Linked DNA regions of Arabidopsis thaliana. The protein of the gene in region 1 interacts with the protein of each later gene in a pairwise test. Each region holds a gene or a part of one and is shown in the gene's direction. Other genes may lie near its edges.

The links.
Region 2: the proteins of RR14 (region 1) and PAP1 interact in binary tests that used the Arabidopsis thaliana proteins (3 or more experiments, as listed by UniProt).
Region 3: the proteins of RR14 (region 1) and IAA31 interact in binary tests that used the Arabidopsis thaliana proteins (3 or more experiments, as listed by UniProt).
Region 4: the proteins of RR14 (region 1) and WRKY38 interact in binary tests that used the Arabidopsis thaliana proteins (3 or more experiments, as listed by UniProt).

What each region holds. Positions count from the first base shown.
Region 1 is NC_003071.7:331,109-335,344, forward strand, and holds RR14 (response regulator 14), read left to right. Parts: upstream 1-1,793; 5' UTR 1,794-1,932; coding exon 1,933-2,281; intron 2,282-2,359; coding exon 2,360-2,764; intron 2,765-2,847; coding exon 2,848-2,924; intron 2,925-3,004; coding exon 3,005-3,406; 3' UTR 3,407-3,588; downstream 3,589-4,236. Other genes in the region: MAP70-3 (microtubule-associated proteins 70-3), read left to right, coding at 1-307, 401-594, 698-740; AT2G01755 (uncharacterized protein), read right to left, coding at 1,141-1,680; VIT1 (vacuolar iron transporter 1), read right to left, coding at 3,667-3,964. UniProt on the Arabidopsis thaliana protein: Transcriptional activator that binds specifically to the DNA sequence 5'-[AG]GATT-3'. Functions as a response regulator involved in His-to-Asp phosphorelay signal transduction system.
Region 2 is NC_003074.8:5,611,692-5,616,964, reverse strand, and holds PAP1 (phytochrome-associated protein 1), read left to right. Parts: upstream 1-2,161; 5' UTR 2,162-2,756; coding exon 2,757-3,049; intron 3,050-3,260; coding exon 3,261-3,541; intron 3,542-3,633; coding exon 3,634-3,766; intron 3,767-3,985; coding exon 3,986-4,053; coding exon of another isoform or gene 4,054-4,079; exon of another isoform or gene 4,080-4,129; coding exon 4,130-4,164; 3' UTR 4,165-4,762; downstream 4,763-5,273. UniProt on the Arabidopsis thaliana protein: Aux/IAA proteins are short-lived transcriptional factors that function as repressors of early auxin response genes at low auxin concentrations.
Region 3 is NC_003074.8:6,019,285-6,022,731, reverse strand, and holds IAA31 (indole-3-acetic acid inducible 31), read left to right. Parts: upstream 1-1,584; 5' UTR 1,585-1,691; coding exon 1,692-1,816; intron 1,817-1,913; coding exon 1,914-2,125; intron 2,126-2,223; coding exon 2,224-2,308; intron 2,309-2,396; coding exon 2,397-2,451; 3' UTR 2,452-2,759; downstream 2,760-3,447. Other genes in the region: BSH (transcription regulatory protein SNF5, putative (BSH)), read left to right, coding at 3,141-3,190, 3,286-3,380. UniProt on the Arabidopsis thaliana protein: Aux/IAA proteins are short-lived transcriptional factors that function as repressors of early auxin response genes at low auxin concentrations.
Region 4 is NC_003076.8:7,494,903-7,498,791, reverse strand, and holds WRKY38 (WRKY DNA-binding protein 38), read left to right. Parts: upstream 1-1,801; 5' UTR 1,802-2,084; coding exon 2,085-2,350; intron 2,351-2,493; coding exon 2,494-2,616; intron 2,617-2,703; coding exon 2,704-3,184; 3' UTR 3,185-3,337; downstream 3,338-3,889. UniProt on the Arabidopsis thaliana protein: Transcription factor. Interacts specifically with the W box (5'-(T)TGAC[CT]-3'), a frequently occurring elicitor-responsive cis-acting element.

The sequences.
Region 1 (4,236 bases):
CACAATATTGAAGCATGCGAAAGGAACATCCAGATCATTTGACGGAGGCAGTAGATCTTTAGATAGGAGTAAAGTACTAACAAACGAACCCAGATCGAAGTTTCCATTGAACCAATCTTCTGAAGGAACAAGCGGAGGCGGGTCACCTAATTCAACAAAACAAGGAGATTCAGAGAAAGCAGCAGGGACAAATAATGATAGTGTCCCAGGAGTATTACATGATTTGCTTCAAAAGGAGGTGATAACTTTAAGGAAAGCTGCTAATGATAAAGATCAAAGCCTTAGAGATAAAGACGAAGCTATTGAGGTTAGTCATTAGTTTTACACCTTTCCAAGAAACGTTTGCTTATATTTATTTATATTCTCTGATCAAAATACTTGGGCTTGTGTTTGCTTTTAGATGTTGGCCAAGAAGGTTGAAACACTAACAAAGGCGATGGAAGTGGAAGCAAAGAAGATGCGAAGAGAAGTAGCAGCAATGGAGAAAGAGGTTTCAGCTATGCGTGTGGATAACAAAGGATCAGATAGTAGAACGAGACGTCACTCTACTAACTCAAAAGGAGCTTCAACAACTGCACAGTTACTTTCTGGAAGGTACCTGATGTTTTCTTATTATAATGACCCAATGTAACGATTATAAGTTGGTTAGGTTAGTTTTCTTTAACACTTGAACGTTTGCTTTGCATTGTTGTTTTAGCAGAGGCTCAGGACGAATGGGGATGACGAGGAGCACGCAGTGATCAAAGAAGTCGATTCCACGAGCAAAATATGAATCTCAATTCAGTGGTTAATAGATTGAAGGAATGACAAAAAGCATACAAATATAGAAATCCAATATGGGAGGTTTGTGTGCTTCTTAACATAGTAAGATTTCAAAGTTAAAAACTGATTTTTAATTTCTTGGCTGATGTTTATTGTTTTCCTCATATATAGAAAAGAGTTAGGTTTGTGTTTTAACTACTAACTTGAGCTTAGTGTGTGATTTATTGTATCTCTCTCTATCTTACCTTTGTCCATTTTTCTCATTTTGGGGTATGTTATAGATTTAAGAAATTAGTTCAGAAACAGAGGTGAGAGTTATTAGTGAAAAAATTGAAATTGTCATTAGTTTCATTGATCCAGACACAACATTCACTAACATTAGTTGAGTCTGGTCTCCTTGAAGGCTTGAAAAGAGATGTCCCTTTGAATATAATGAATCTGTGAAGGATCAAAAGGACCTCTCACTCTATCAATCTTTGTAATGACTGCTCTCTCCGGCAACACACTCCTCGCCGGATCCACCGCCGTTTCTCCGCTCAAGCACGACGACACTCCTTTAAAGATTACAACTTCCACTTCTTCATCGTCGACAATGGCCGTCACTATAAGCGCTTCTTCTCTACACGACTGGCTATATATCTCCAACATCGCCATTTCCTCGTTGTATCCATACATTTCATCTTCATCTTCACCACCTCCCTCGTCTCTCACCCTTCTCCGAGCACCGCACCAGAACATCTTCAAAGCTCTTCTTCTCTCCGCCACTGGAGGGACGGTGAAAAGTTTTTTCCGGTAGTTATACGAGTTTGTGAGCGAGGGTATTTTAGTCATTTGATCTTTCTGTCCGAAAACGAATAATCCGGCTATGCCACCGGATAAATTCGCCGGCGTGATAAGCATTCTGATATTGTAGTGCATGAGGACCGTGACTTTGTCTATAGATAAGATTTTAAAGGACTCGTGTATGTTTACAAATAAGGGTAGTACCAATTGGATTAATTACAACAGAGTGCCACTACAGCTATTACCAGTCGCTTTCGTTGCCTCTCTCTTCAAACCAGTGGCTACTTACTCAACACTGTACGTCTTCAATCATTTCTTCTTCTTTCTTCTCCAACCAAAATCTCTTTCTCAGTTCTCTAGGGTTTTCAATACTCACACCAAAGCTTAATGCCGATCAACGATCAGTTTCCTAGTGGGTTAAGAATACTCGTTGTAGACGATGATACTTCATGCTTGTTCATTCTCGAGAAAATGCTTCTCCGTCTCATGTACCAAGGTCTAATTCTTTATCAAAGTTCCCACCTTTTAATAGATTTTCTCAAGAAAGTTTTAACATTTTTGTTTTATCTTCTCTTTGTAGTTACAATTTGCTCACAAGCTGATGTTGCGTTAACCATTCTAAGAGAAAGAAAAGACAGTTTTGATTTGGTGCTAAGTGATGTTCATATGCCTGGTATGAATGGTTACAATCTTCTTCAACAAGTTGGTCTTCTTGAAATGGATCTTCCTGTCATTAGTAAGACTCTGTTGTTATGTTTTGTCTCTAAAGATTGAATCTTTGCATCAATGTTTCTTACATTTGCTCTGTTTCTAGTGATGTCTGTTGATGGAAGAACAACTACAGTCATGACTGGAATCAACCATGGAGCTTGTGATTATCTAATCAAACCTATTCGTCCTGAAGAGCTTAAGAACATTTGGCAACATGTTGTTAGAAGGAAATGTGTGATGAAGAAAGAGCTTCGAAGTTCTCAAGCTTTAGAGGATAACAAGAACAGTGGTAGCCTCGAGACTGTTGTTGTTTCGGTTAGTGAATGCTCAGAGGAAAGTTTGATGAAATGTAGGAATAAGAAGAAGAAGAAGAAGAGAAGTGTTGATAGAGATGATAATGAAGATGATCTTCTTCTTGATCCTGGAAACTCGAAGAAGTCACGCGTTGTTTGGTCTATTGAATTGCATCAACAATTCGTTAATGCCGTAAACAAACTTGGAATTGACAGTATGATCCTAAACACTATCTTATTGCTTGTAGAAGAAATTCAAAGTAATTTGTGCTTATAAGAATCTCTCTTATTGTTTCAGAAGCTGTACCAAAGCGGATTCTCGAGTTGATGAATGTTCCTGGTTTAAGCAGAGAAAACGTGGCTAGTCATTTACAGGTTTCTTTGATTGATTGATTGAATCTTTCTTCTTATTAGGGTCTCTATAAGGGTTATGACTGAATCAATACCATTTGCAGAAGTTCCGATTGTATTTGAAGAGATTAAGCGGTGAAGCTTCGCAGAGTAATGACTCTGAGTCTACCAAAAGATATGAAAACATTCAAGCTCTGGTTTCCTCAGGACAATTACATCCACAGACATTAGCTGCATTGTTTGGTCAACCAATAGACAATCATCACTCTGCTAGTTTTGGAGTTTGGATTCCTAATGACAATCTTGGTAGATCTCAAAATGAACACTTCTCGGTTGATGTATCATCCGCTTCTAACCGTCCTGTTTCTGTGGCGGTTCATGGTCTATCTTCCTCAGCAAATTTCAGACAGAGAGGTGACGTTAACAACAACAGAATCAGACAAGGGTATGGATCAAATGTCAATGAAGAATCTTGGATCTTGGAAAGATCTTCAAGACAAAGATAGTGACCAATATGGATACGCTTAAGAAGAGAAGGCTCTGCAACTGTTTCTTTTAAATCTTCAGGAATGGATTAATGTCAGAAGAAAACTTGTGTGTCTGCAATGTTAGCTTAGGAAAGTAATTATGTAACCAATATTTTGAATTGTTATCTCTCACTTTATTATGGTTGCCAAAAGTTTTAGCCTGATAATAACCACAAGACATGCAACAAACAAGTCTCAAAGTACACAAAACATCAAACGCAACACTAGTTTTGTTACTGCTAATGTTGCACAACTTTAGCCAAACAAAAAGCAGCAGCTGAAGCAATCGCTCCTATAAAGGCGGTTTCAAACGCACTTCTGAGGGGCTTGCTTCCAGTGAAATGCCCTTTTGCATAGCCAAATATGAAGAGCGCAAACAGAGTTATAACCACAGACGCCACTACCGCATCCATGGCATGCGGTATGAGCATGTAGGGAAGTAACGGTATAAAACCGCCAAGAACATAAGCGATTGCAATCGTGAACGCGCTTTGTAACGCTCTTTTTGGATCAGGCTTCTCTAATCCCAGCTCAAACCTGTAACGAAACAATAAAGTCTCACTTATATAACAAGTTACATGCTTATAGTAGGAATATAAACATTTTGTGATAGGTAAAGAGTGTTAAACTTAACCAAATCAATAAGATAAGTTTTTATATTCACGTAATTTGTTGTTTTCTGTTTGTTACTATTCACGTACTTTATTTGTTGCAACAAAAAAGATTAAAATTGGAAGTCGGACCATATAAGAATCTTGCCCACACCTGGAAAGTATAAGCTCAGCTTTTGCAGAAATCTAAAAGTATCC
Region 2 (5,273 bases), on another chromosome or scaffold:
CTGAGTAAATTAATATCAATGTTTACAAAATCTATTGTATATGTTATTTATCGGTTTTATTTTATCCCTGTTATGTATAAAAATAAGATTTTCCCATAGAAACAATTATAATTTGTTGAATAATAGTTTTGCTCTTGCTTAAACAACAAATAATCATACTTGTTAAATCAATGAAATTCAGCTGTTAAAAAACAAATAATCATATACATTGTTATAGGTTATTATAAATAGACAACTCATAATTTGTGAGATTGTATATTTTAAACCATCCATGAATTTTTAATTATTTTACTTTGATATGTAAAAACTCCACTTGCGTAAGAGGTGAAGCCTTCTGGAATACAAGTCTGATAAGAAGAGATGAGAAAAAAAAAAAAAAAAATTAGTTTTCTATAGTCTACTCTAAATATGCAAATACAAGCACCCAAAAACATGAACAAAATTTTGAAGAAAGGAGTACAATCAAATATGCAAGGCATGATTTTTTTTCATTCAACTCTAAGAAACTTGCATTATATATGTGATAAATTCACAAAACTACTAGTATTAGTAGTCAAAACTCAATAGTCAACCCATTTTTCCATAAAGGCATGAAGTTCATGAACATTGATGATCAACAATTGGGCTCATTTTCAGCGTGATTTTCATGGGCCAGTTATACTAGAGGATCAGTTCAGACCTTATCCATATTTGGATTATTTTTTCTTTTATTCCTCTTTTTATTTTGTTAAAATGATATCAATTTCTTACATATACTCCTTTTTTAGTTCACTAAAAAAATTAGTGAGTGGATAAAAATAATTTTATTTCTTGGTGAAAATTCTAGGAAGAGCATCATTGACACCACCACTATTCTCACTTGCTTTTCTTTATTTCCCTTGATATGACATTCAATTCACGAGTTGTTTTTTTGTTCCTTTTCTCCTGAGTCGGCTACTTTTTTAATCGGATGCTTTGCTTTGTACTCTTTTAATCACAGCCGTCACATTTGCTATATCTCTATTCACTTCTACGGCTTTGATTAAAGCCCAAATTTAAACCTTATCGTACGATCTCAAAATCTTGTGCAACTTCAACATGTGTCCACTGTCTAGTTTGTCTGTGCGGATCTAGTTAGTGCGGTTAAGTTAAACCGGAGAGGTTCAGGTTATGTTAACCATGGTTAAGGTTTTGTCTGACAGTGAGGGAAGAAAGTCACGGAGTTGGGTAAAACGGCGACAAGATATGACTAGAGACACACTCCTTCTTCAATTTCCTAAATTACCCTTCCTTACTTGACCGGAACTCTCACTCGAGATTTTTCTACGTCGGCTTTATCGTAATATCGGTGTCACACGTACGTGGGAGAGACATGTACATTCTTTTCCCCCTCCTGAAAAACCAAATAAAATAGCTTCAATCTTTGGTTGAAAAACTTGAAATATGTTCTTGATTTACGCTGCAAAATTATGTACATTTTTTAAGATCAAAGGACCAACTACAATTGTTTCTGCTAAAGTCTTTTCTTTTGTTATTTTTATCAAAATATGTTGATTTTGTAGATTTGAGAAAAGAAAATTTTTGATTAGGAAAAACAAACAAACAGTTGACTATTTACTTGGTTGGGGAAGCAAATTAAATTATACCATCGTAATCCACACGTACACATTGTTTTTAACTTTTGACAAAATAATTGTTTAGCTACCTAACAAATTGACATATTGTGTGGCAAATTTATAAATAAATAATTACATATATCTCACTGAGACGCCATGCAGATTCGTATGTTTATACAATGCCTCACCCATTTCTTGAATTCTCTCAATTGATCTTCCCATGATGTTCATTTATTATTTGCTTTATGTATATCTTTGTAGAATGGTAGTATTACTATTAAAGTATCAAATTACCATGACGACCTATAGAAAAATGTTTTTAGAAAAGCATAGGGATATGTGTCTTATGGACAGTGGATAAGAGAGTGGTCCTAAAAACAGACCATAAATTATGGGATCTTCCCTTAGTTCCTTTATTGTTATCATATTTTAATTACTCTTATTAGTATTTTTTTAATGGTCAAGTTGTTTATTGGAATTACGCATTTAATTATTTTTCTAATTCGTATACTTGTGAGAAACAGAACAGCACGCTTTGCTTCTTTTACTAGACAAACCCTTAATTAGCGATATTTGAGGCAGAAAAAAAGACAAGGTTGCGTGTGTTTTACTCCACAAAAGAACTCCTAAAACCAAAAACGTTAAAACCCACTTCTTTTTTTTCACAGTATTCTCTTTTCATGTCAAGAACAATTACTGTTTTTCTTGGTATGCAATCTGTAAATTTATTGTAGTTTTCATTTCTACTTTTGGGGTTTAGGAGTAAAAGTGGAGTCACTCTACTTTGCTTTACCTTTTTCTGAGTTTTTTTTTGTTCATACAAATCCAAATTTCCTTTTCTTTGTATTCCTATTTTTTCTCTTCTCGTCCCTTTCAGAATCTTTAGAGAGAGAGAACAACAAATTGAGAAAGAAAAAAAGGTAAGGCTGTGTGAGAGAGAACCCACCAAAGCGTGCACGAGAGAGAGAAAAAAAAAGCTTTGATTTTGTATAAAATCCCACCACTGCTCTCTTACCATACCTTCATTACACATCTCTCTTTCTCTCTCTCGCTCTCAGTTTTGTGGGATTGTTTCTTTAAAAGGGGTTCTTAGGGTTTAGTGAAGCTATAGATTTCAATTTCATACATAGTTAACGTATAGAAGGAATCTTGGGTTGATCAATGGAAGGTTGTCCAAGAAACAGAGAAATCGGTCCAAAACTTCTTGATTTGATTCCACAAGGAAGGAAATGGTACCAAGAAGACAAGAACAACACAGATCAGGAGAAGAAACTTGAGCTAAGGCTTGGACCACCCGGTGGTGATGAAGAAGATCATTCAGCAATCAAGAAGAAGAACACAGAGATAAGAAACATCAAGAAGGAAACAGAAGACAAATCTTTCCACTGTTTTAATGGCAATCACTTCTCTCCTTCCAACAAAACCACTTCTGTTCCTCACATCTCACAGAAAAGGTATAATCTCCTTTTTTTTCCTTCACTGTTATTTTTTCTTACTGCTTTGACAGAGGATATTCTCTTGAACATTAGGGACCCATCTTCTGCAATCTGTGTTTTTTTTTTTACCTTCACATGTTAAAAGTTTCAACATTTACTCTGTTTTGCTCTGTTTTTGTCGTTTGGTATTGACATATGTCTCTTGTTTCTTTTGATATCTGGTTCAAAGAACTGCTCCTGGTCCAGTGGTGGGTTGGCCTCCGGTTCGTTCGTTCAGAAAGAATCTAGCGAGCACAAGCTCTTCAAAGCTAGGTAACGAATCCTCTCATGGAGGTCAAATCAACAAGAGTGATGATGGTGAAAAACAAGTTGAAACCAAGAAGGAAGGAATGTTTGTCAAGATCAACATGGATGGTGTTCCTATTGGTCGTAAAGTTGATCTCAATGCTTACAACAGCTACGAACAGCTCTCTTTTGTCGTTGACAAACTCTTCAGAGGTCTACTCGCAGGTTAAATCTTAATCTCAAATTCTGTTTTTTAGTTCTTTAGGAGTGTTACTTGTGTTTACTGAGTATGATTTGTGTATGTTGTTGGTTTATAGCTCAAAGAGATATCTCTGATGGTCAAGGAGAAGAGAAACCTATCATTGGATTATTAGATGGGAAAGGAGAATTTACTTTAACCTATGAAGACAATGAAGGGGACAAGATGCTTGTTGGGGATGTTCCATGGCAGTAAGAATCTTTTCCCCTTTTGTTCTCTGAATCTGATTCAGTGTTTTGCAGAATTAGATTCTTGATCATATAACAACAAAAGTTCTCAGCTTTTAATCAATAGTAGTAGTAATTCAAATTGATAATTCTTTACCTAAAGAATAGAATTTTGCTTGGAGATTTGTTTATACCTCTTTTTTTGCATACTAACTGATCTTTAATCTTTGTTTTTAAACACAGAATGTTTGTTTCATCTGTGAAGAGACTGCGTGTGATTAAAAGCTCTGAGATTTCATCTGCCTTGACATGTAAGCTTCTGTTCTTATATGTTTAGATGATTTATTAGAGCTATATGATTAAAAGGGTTCCTCTGTATATTTGCAGTTGGATGCAGTAAGCAAGAGAAGATGATGCACTGAAGAGTCTTTTTAGAAACTTTTATTTCAGACAGAGAGTCTCAAAGCTTTATAAATGTACATCTGGTTTTTGTTATATATAAGAGTTAATCATTGGTTTTTTACTTTTTTTTTGGTCCAGAGAAACATTTGATCTGATCTGATATTCCCATGTCTTCAAGACACTAGACGATGAGATTACATAAGCAATCTGTGTTTATAAGCATTTTAATTAATTAAGGAGATAATTAGAACATACTGTAATAATTATCTCATGCATGTCTGCAAAACTCTTTTTGAAAAAAGAAGATGAAATTTTTATTCTCTGTAAAAGCTCTTTTAACTTTTGTTCCTTCCAACTTTGGCTATACCTTTAATCATGTAAAAAGCTGAGAATGAAAGGCCATTATTGTTGTTTTTGTTGTTGTCTTTTTTTTTCTTCTTGTTTTTACTATTTAACCTGAGTATGCATGTATATAAGAAGATAAGATTGGAAGTTGAAAACTCAAAAAAGACTTTTCAGAATGAGATCAGTCCATGTCGTGATAATTTTGGTGGCTATATCATCTCTTTTGTTCTTCTAGGTGCAGAATTTAGCAGCTTTTTATCCTGACTTTTTAAATCATACATACACATTGTAACTTATTGGACAGTGTCTTGGTGGATCGACTAAAACATCACTATAGATATGTTTAATTTAGCACATTGTTTTCGTGATAAATATATTCATACCACAAGCATCACTTGGCCGACTTGTATTCATCTTAAAAATTTTATTCGAAGTTGTCCTTCTCATTACCAGATGAGTGTTGTGGTTAAACAATATAACCATTGAAATTGATGCAGCCAAATAGTTTGATAATAACATTTTTTGGTAGCTAAATAATGGTATATGTTTTAACTTTTAACCAAACCAAAAAAGAAACATTTTCGAAACATATGTAAAGCGATAGCCGCAACATAATGAGTTGGAAAATTCCGTTGTTTCATTTGTTGCAAAATGTCGCACCAGTGCCGGCTCTAGGGGAGTGCTAGAGGAGCAAAAGCACAGGGTCCTCAATTTTTTTTTCAATTTTCTTTAAGGTTTTAGGGTCCAAAAATTACAGAAATTAAAAACCAATATTAACTAAAGT
Region 3 (3,447 bases), on another chromosome or scaffold:
GCAGCGGACATTCATTTTGTTTGTATGACTATATGATTTTATTATTTGAAGCTGTATGCAAACGTGGAGATATGATTGCATCTTTGTCTATGCATGAACATGCCACGTTAATTTAGGAGTACATATCATGATATTGATCTCTCTTGCTATAACTTTTTGGCACAATACTATTGCATGCCTCTCTATATTACTTCAACAAAACGTTTAAATTTACCATGGTTAGAACTTAGAAGTAATCGAGCTGCAAACCATGGTGATCATATTTTTTCTCGTTCGCATGCTCGGTCTTAATATATTGAGAGTTATGGCCAAAATTTGAATACCATTTTAAGAAACTTCAGAAAATCAGGAGTTTGATTATTATCTTTGGTTCTTACTTACTTCAACGAAAACTAATGACAAAACTCTTTTAAGTCGAGGTATGCGAGTAATAACTCCTTGGACATATTTTTTTGATAAAAGTTTAATTGATTATAGACTTATAGTAGTCTTAATTATTATTATAAGTATAAAGAGGAGTAAACATTCATCATTAGACTACTAGACATTATAAAGTTATATATATCGAAATTCTAACAAGAAGGATCCCTAGAGACCAGACATGCATGTCCAAAGACAGATCGTATAATAGCTAATAGGAGTCTTATCGATCCAACATCCAAGGTAGGCTTTATTACAAAGTAACTATTAGAGTGCACTTCCCATGATGATTCTAGAATCTAATATTATTATCAATACAGCCAATGAGCATTATGTGATGTAACAATTTATGTCTACTTTATATTTTGAAGTTATCATAAATCAACGAATTCTATTTTGATTTTCAAAAAAGAGTAAAAGATTTGGGCTTCTAAGAGAGACAATCCACAAAGCTAAAGAGACATTAACAGGAAACGTATAGTTAAAGAAAAGAACACTGTCTGCTCCACAAAAACAATATACACAAAACTCTTCAAGTCTACCTTATTTTTATTGGTTCTGCAATTTTCAATGGTCTGTTACATTAATGTGTCATAAGAGACAATTGAGTTTTCTTATCAACAGAAGGGTCTAAAAAATTGATCCCCCAAGTTCATAGTCTATAGACTCAGTTTTTTTCTTTCAAATATTGATGTGTAAGAAAGTGAAAGTGATGTGATGCTCTGTTTCTGTTTACGGCTAGACAATAAAGCCTTTTTTGGCCCTTATCTCTCCTAATTAAAGAATCTGAGCAGTTGAGAAATTAAAATCAAAGCCTTAACAGATTAACTCCAACATCATTTAGACACACTTTCCTTGGATACCACCTTTTTACGGAAACTTCGAATCTTACATGTAAACAAATCTCAAAACCATAATTTCACATTTTTACTACTAACTAACTCCAAAGATCTAAACCCATGAATTAAGTATCTAATCGGGTAATTATTACAGTGGTTTTCAGAAATCAATGTGTGTTCATATTTAGAAGGTTGAAAGTTCATAGTTAAATGTGGGGAACCTTATGTTCCTATTATTTATTTATATTAAATTTCAAAGTCGATTAAATCAATTTTTAAATTCAAAATCTATGCAATAGAATCACCTACTAGTCCTTTTTTGTTTAACTAGACAGAGAGAAATAGAAATAGAGAGAGAGAGACATGAAGAGCACTCTCAATAGAGAAGAGAAGGAAGCATGAAGCTAGCTCTGCAGCTTCAAGGTCTCATTAATGGAGGTCTCTAACTCTTGTTCTTCATTTTCTTCATCCTCTGTCGACAGTACTAAACCTTCTCCTTCTGAATCTTCTGTTAATCTCTCCCTTAGTCTCACATTTCCTTCTACTTCTCCACAAAGGTCTTATTCACATCACTTCTCTGTTTTTTCCTATGTTCTGTTTTTGCTCTGTTTTCTTTTGTTCACATTTGTGTTTTAAATCTTTATTTTTTTGTAGAGAAGCAAGACAAGATTGGCCACCGATAAAGTCTAGATTAAGAGATACACTAAAGGGTCGTCGTCTTCTTCGTCGTGGTGATGACACTTCTCTCTTTGTTAAGGTTTATATGGAAGGTGTTCCCATTGGAAGAAAACTCGACCTTTGCGTATTCTCAGGCTACGAGAGTCTATTAGAAAATCTCTCTCACATGTTCGATACTTCAATCATCTGTAAGTAATTAATGAACAACACATAATTCCGTAAAAACAACATTCAACTAAATTCAAACAGTTTGAAGTATATCCATGCATTGTCTTGGCTATAACAGGCGGTAATCGAGATCGAAAACATCATGTTTTGACATATGAAGACAAGGATGGAGATTGGATGATGGTCGGAGATATTCCATGGGAGTATGAATCTTATATCTTGATCTTACATTGGTATAATTTCCTCGGTTATAGCTATTCTCTAATTTTTGAAATCGATGTTTTTGTTTAGTATGTTTCTTGAAACCGTGAGAAGACTAAAGATCACGAGACCGGAGAGGTATTAAAACTTGGATCGGTCAAGGCTGTGATTGCGCAGTTACGAGACGTGTAAGATTTAGGCATTGATGAAGAGACTTGAGGCGGGACGGAGCTATTGCTGCATATTGCAACAAAGGCCTTGAAGAAGTTGGAGAATTGATTGATGCATATATTTATTTATATGACACCTTTGAGTGTGTTTTTTCTTATAAATAAATCACAATATCCAAGACTTCTCTTTTTTGTTCTGAATAATAATAATGCAAAGATTTTTTATATGTTTGTAATCGTGTGTTTCTTCGAATGTGTTACATGACTAGGAAAAAAGTACACGAACGTTGTTATGGGGAGCACGAACATGGAATAGAGGAACGTTGTCAGGAAGAGAATGATTCTCTTTGATCTGCCGGCAGCCGTCTCGTTGGTTGTCACCAATGTACAATTTTAATGTTGAGCCCATTTAAAGCCCACTAAATGACTAACAAGCTCGTTTAAAGCCCAAATGCTGCAATTGATCGTAGGATCGGATCCAGATAATTCGTCCCAAAATGGGAAAATTCCAAATTAGAGGTGAAATGTGTAAAGACATTAGAATATAAGGGTGATTCTGAAATAAATTAAGCTAGCGCCGGAAAAAGATCGAGAAATTGAAATTTCCCACACTCTCTCGCTGACTCTCTTCGAAACTCAATTTGTGAAATTTGGGGGTTTAAGGATGAAGGGTTTAGTGTCTACTGGTTGGAAAGGTCCCGTCAAGTTCAGGATGTAAGTTTCGTCGCTTCCTCTACTTTGTTTGTTTTGAAATCGAAATCGAGTTCATGTGTTTTTGTTTTTTCTGATGAATCGATTTGTAATCGGAGCTATAGGCCCACTGCTGAAAACTTGGTACCTATTCGATTGGACATTCAATTCGAAGGTCAGCGTTACAAAGATGCTTTCACTTGGAACCCTTCAGGTTTCTCTCTTAAAAACCCTACCTTTTTTTTTGTTTTCCATCTTCTCGCATCTTATTACAGTAGCAG
Region 4 (3,889 bases), on another chromosome or scaffold:
TTCACTTTCCTTTCGCACCATAAAATAATGTGACTTGACCCATAGCTTTGCTTGACTTGTACATATGTGACCCCTTACTCAATATAGTACTAATACCTATACAATATTTAACAATTTGCTAATAACAAGAACAAAATACATGTGGGCAACGTTTCACAGATCAGATCAAAGTCACGTGCGAAAGTTTATATATATATATATATATATATATATATATATATATATCTCTTATGTGTTGATATCTATCAATTTACATTAACCACCCGCAGAAGAAGATAGGGTTGTTAAATTGATGGGTAGATAGAACTTAACATTCTTTACAAACTTTGTAATTTGTTGTATAGTTTCATGAATGGTGTTAATTCATGGCCTGAAAATACCATCGATGTATACAATCTGATAAGGATAAATTGTTTTGGATTGACCATCTATTAGTTTTAAAATATGATTGTATAACTTGGATTGGTTAGCTTTCAGATTATACTATATATTCAAAACAAGCTTTTGTACGTATATTATATCATTTTATCCGCTTAAAATGTAATTACTAATTTTTCTTTCATATAAGATTCAAGTTTACCTAAAGAAAAAGGATTCAAGATTACCAGTTATCTTTTGCAAAGCTTATTAATTATAAATTCTTAAAATTTTAGATTAAATTAAAATATGGACCGAGTAGCCAACGAATGAATCTCACATCACGGCATAGTTGACTAGTTGTTGTTAGTATATAATATAATCAACATTGCTGCTTCGTTCTGACGTCAATCTGCTGAATCAGCCCCTTCAACAAAAACTACGTCATGGGGCTGACGTCGAGTGTCCGACGAAACTAATGCCGTTTTCATTGGTGCATTAGTCGCCACTCGCCAGCTACATCGCAATTATTTCTCTCTTTAAGCGTTGAAAAATTGTCTAGATCTTACTTGTTAATGTTATTCTATTACCTAATAATTATCTTTTGTCTGGTCTAAATACTTACATTTTTATTTAAAATCTGAACCAAAACTCACCAAAAAATTAGATAATTTTACCATTAAAGATATCCACGACTAGTGGAGTATTTTCATTACAAAAAAATGAATTGATCATATCATATGTGTTCGAAGCTTATTATATTGAGCAAAAAAACATTATTTGTACACGTTTCATCTTTGATGAGGTAAACATTGCGATGGACGTGTAAAATATGTTATACTTTTTTTTTTTGTGAACATCCAATCTATTACATACATTTGTTTTTTTTTGTCATATGAACGTAAAATATATTATTTTCAAAACTCTATATTATTAGTTACCGTATAAATTATAATTAAAACCACCTATCAAAATATTAAATAAAAAATATTTAACGATATACAATCAACAAAATTAAGCAAACAAATTTATTCTTAAATTTCATCTGCTATATATTTTCAAAAAAAAAATAAAAAAAATTGCGACACATATTGAAATGGAAAGATTACAAAAGAAAATTTTAAAATCATTGCTAATTTGGGGTTTATCATAGCTCATATCTCTCTCTAATATATCTGACTTTGTAGAACACAGTTTTCTATTAGATTCCTCCTATCTTGAAACCTTTTAGTGTTCTGAAAGGAGTAGTTTTTAATTTTTAATCTTTAATTATTAAGCGAACCGCGTAGATTAGTGTAATAAGAGAAACAGATAAATTCTGAAACAATTAAAAACAGATTGTATATAATTAAGTGAGCCGCGTACTGGGAAAGGTATATAAAATAAACTCTGTTTCCTATACATCATGACAGATCATATGCTAATGTCAACACCTAATCTATCTTTTTGTCTCTCTTTATTTAGATTCACGCATATAAGTCTAGCAGAGCACATGTCCTATATCGAAATTATAATTTATCATTGGCTTCTTAAAATATAACCTAGTGTATGTAAATTATATTTGGTAAACCCAAATTGGCAAAGTCATTTGGGAACGTGTATGTACGACTAGTCCTATAAATTCTGATCTCCCTATCCGTTCAAAAGTTTATAGCACAGAGAAGAGACTTGAGAAAAAGAAAACAAACAAGAAACACATACACACACACACAAGTTCACTATACTCTATGGAAATGAACTCCCCACACGAAAAGGCGGTGCAAGCTATCCGTTATGGCCATAGCTGCGCCATGCGGTTGAAGAGGCGGCTCAACCATCCAATGGCTGATGGTGGACCGCTTTCAAGTTATGATCTTGCTAAATCGATCGTTGAAAGTTTTTCCAATGCCATTTCAATCTTATCTGCTAAACCAGAAACCGAAGATGATCAGTTTTCTGATTTATCTTCTAGGGATTCTTCTCCTCCTCCACAGGGGAGCCCCTCCAAGAAAAGGTATACACTTATGAGTTTGTTTTCTTTTTTGAGTTTGTTTTTGTTTTTCCAAATGAAACCACAATTCTTAATATAAGTATTTTTTTTCTTAGGAGTATATGTTGATTTTAATGCTAATATTTTGATAATACTCATGTTTGCAGAAAGATTGATAGTACAAATTCAAGTGAGAATTGGAGGGACGATTCACCGGATCCGATTTACTACGACGGGTATCTTTGGAGGAAATATGGTCAAAAGAGTATAAAAAAATCTAATCACCAAAGGTAAGAAATAGTATAGCTAATCATATTTCATCATAATTATTTCTATCCCGATCACTCATACTAATTGGTGTATGATGATGGTAACAGGAGTTACTATAGATGTTCTTACAACAAAGATCATAACTGCGAAGCAAGAAAGCATGAACAAAAGATCAAAGACAATCCTCCGGTTTACCGAACCACTTACTTTGGCCACCACACTTGCAAAACCGAACATAATCTAGATGCCATTTTTATTGCCGGACAAGATCCCCTAGATGACTTTAAAAGTACCCAAATGATCCGATTCGGAAAAGATCAGGATCAGGAGAAGGAAAGCCGCTCGAACGGTTTCTCCTTATCGGTTAAGCATGAAGAAGATATCATCAAAGAGCAAGCTATAGATCAGTACCGTGAGATAACCAGTAATGACCAAGATTGTCAAGATGTTATAGAAGAATATCTATCATCACCATCAGGCTCTTATCCTCCTTCATCGTCATCTGGCAGTGAAAGTGCTGACTTTAATTCTGATTTGTTATTTGACAACCCAGACTCGTGGGATCGTTATGATCAGTTTTACTTTTGATTGCACTAGATTTTTCAGCTAAAACTATTTAATAATGTTTTCCTTTTTATGAGATTGTATATATTTGAGAATTGTGACTATTTAAGTATTTATGTTATTGATTAGATAATCCGAGAACAATATTTATATTCACCCCTAAGAGTTTATTTCCGGCCAATAAAACTCTATCATCTAATAAATAAATTAAAAATTCATTTGATTATAAAATATAAATTTCAACCACTTTTTGTGTAAACCTAAATCGATCTATAATCTCGTTTAATTATAAAATCTAAACTCTCATTCATCTTTAAAAGCTCAAAACCGACATTTTAACCTTGTTTAATTGTAAAATATAAATTCTAACCATTCTTTCTAATCCCAAACTCACATTTAACCTCGTTTAATTGTAAAATCTAAATATGTTTATAAACCAAACCCAACATTTAATTTGACCTCGTTTATTTACAAACTAAACCATAATTCTCCTTTACAAACTCATACCAACATTTAACCTCGTTTAGTTTTAACGTCTATAATCCTAACCATTTTTTCTAAACCCAAATTGATATATTTAACCTCGTTTAAAAATGTAAAATGTAAACCTTTTTATAAACTCATACCAACAATTAACCTCATCTAGTTGAAAAAAATCTAAACTCGTTTATAAACTCAAACCTATATTTTATCTTGTTTAATTATTAAATTTTAATCTTAACTATTTTC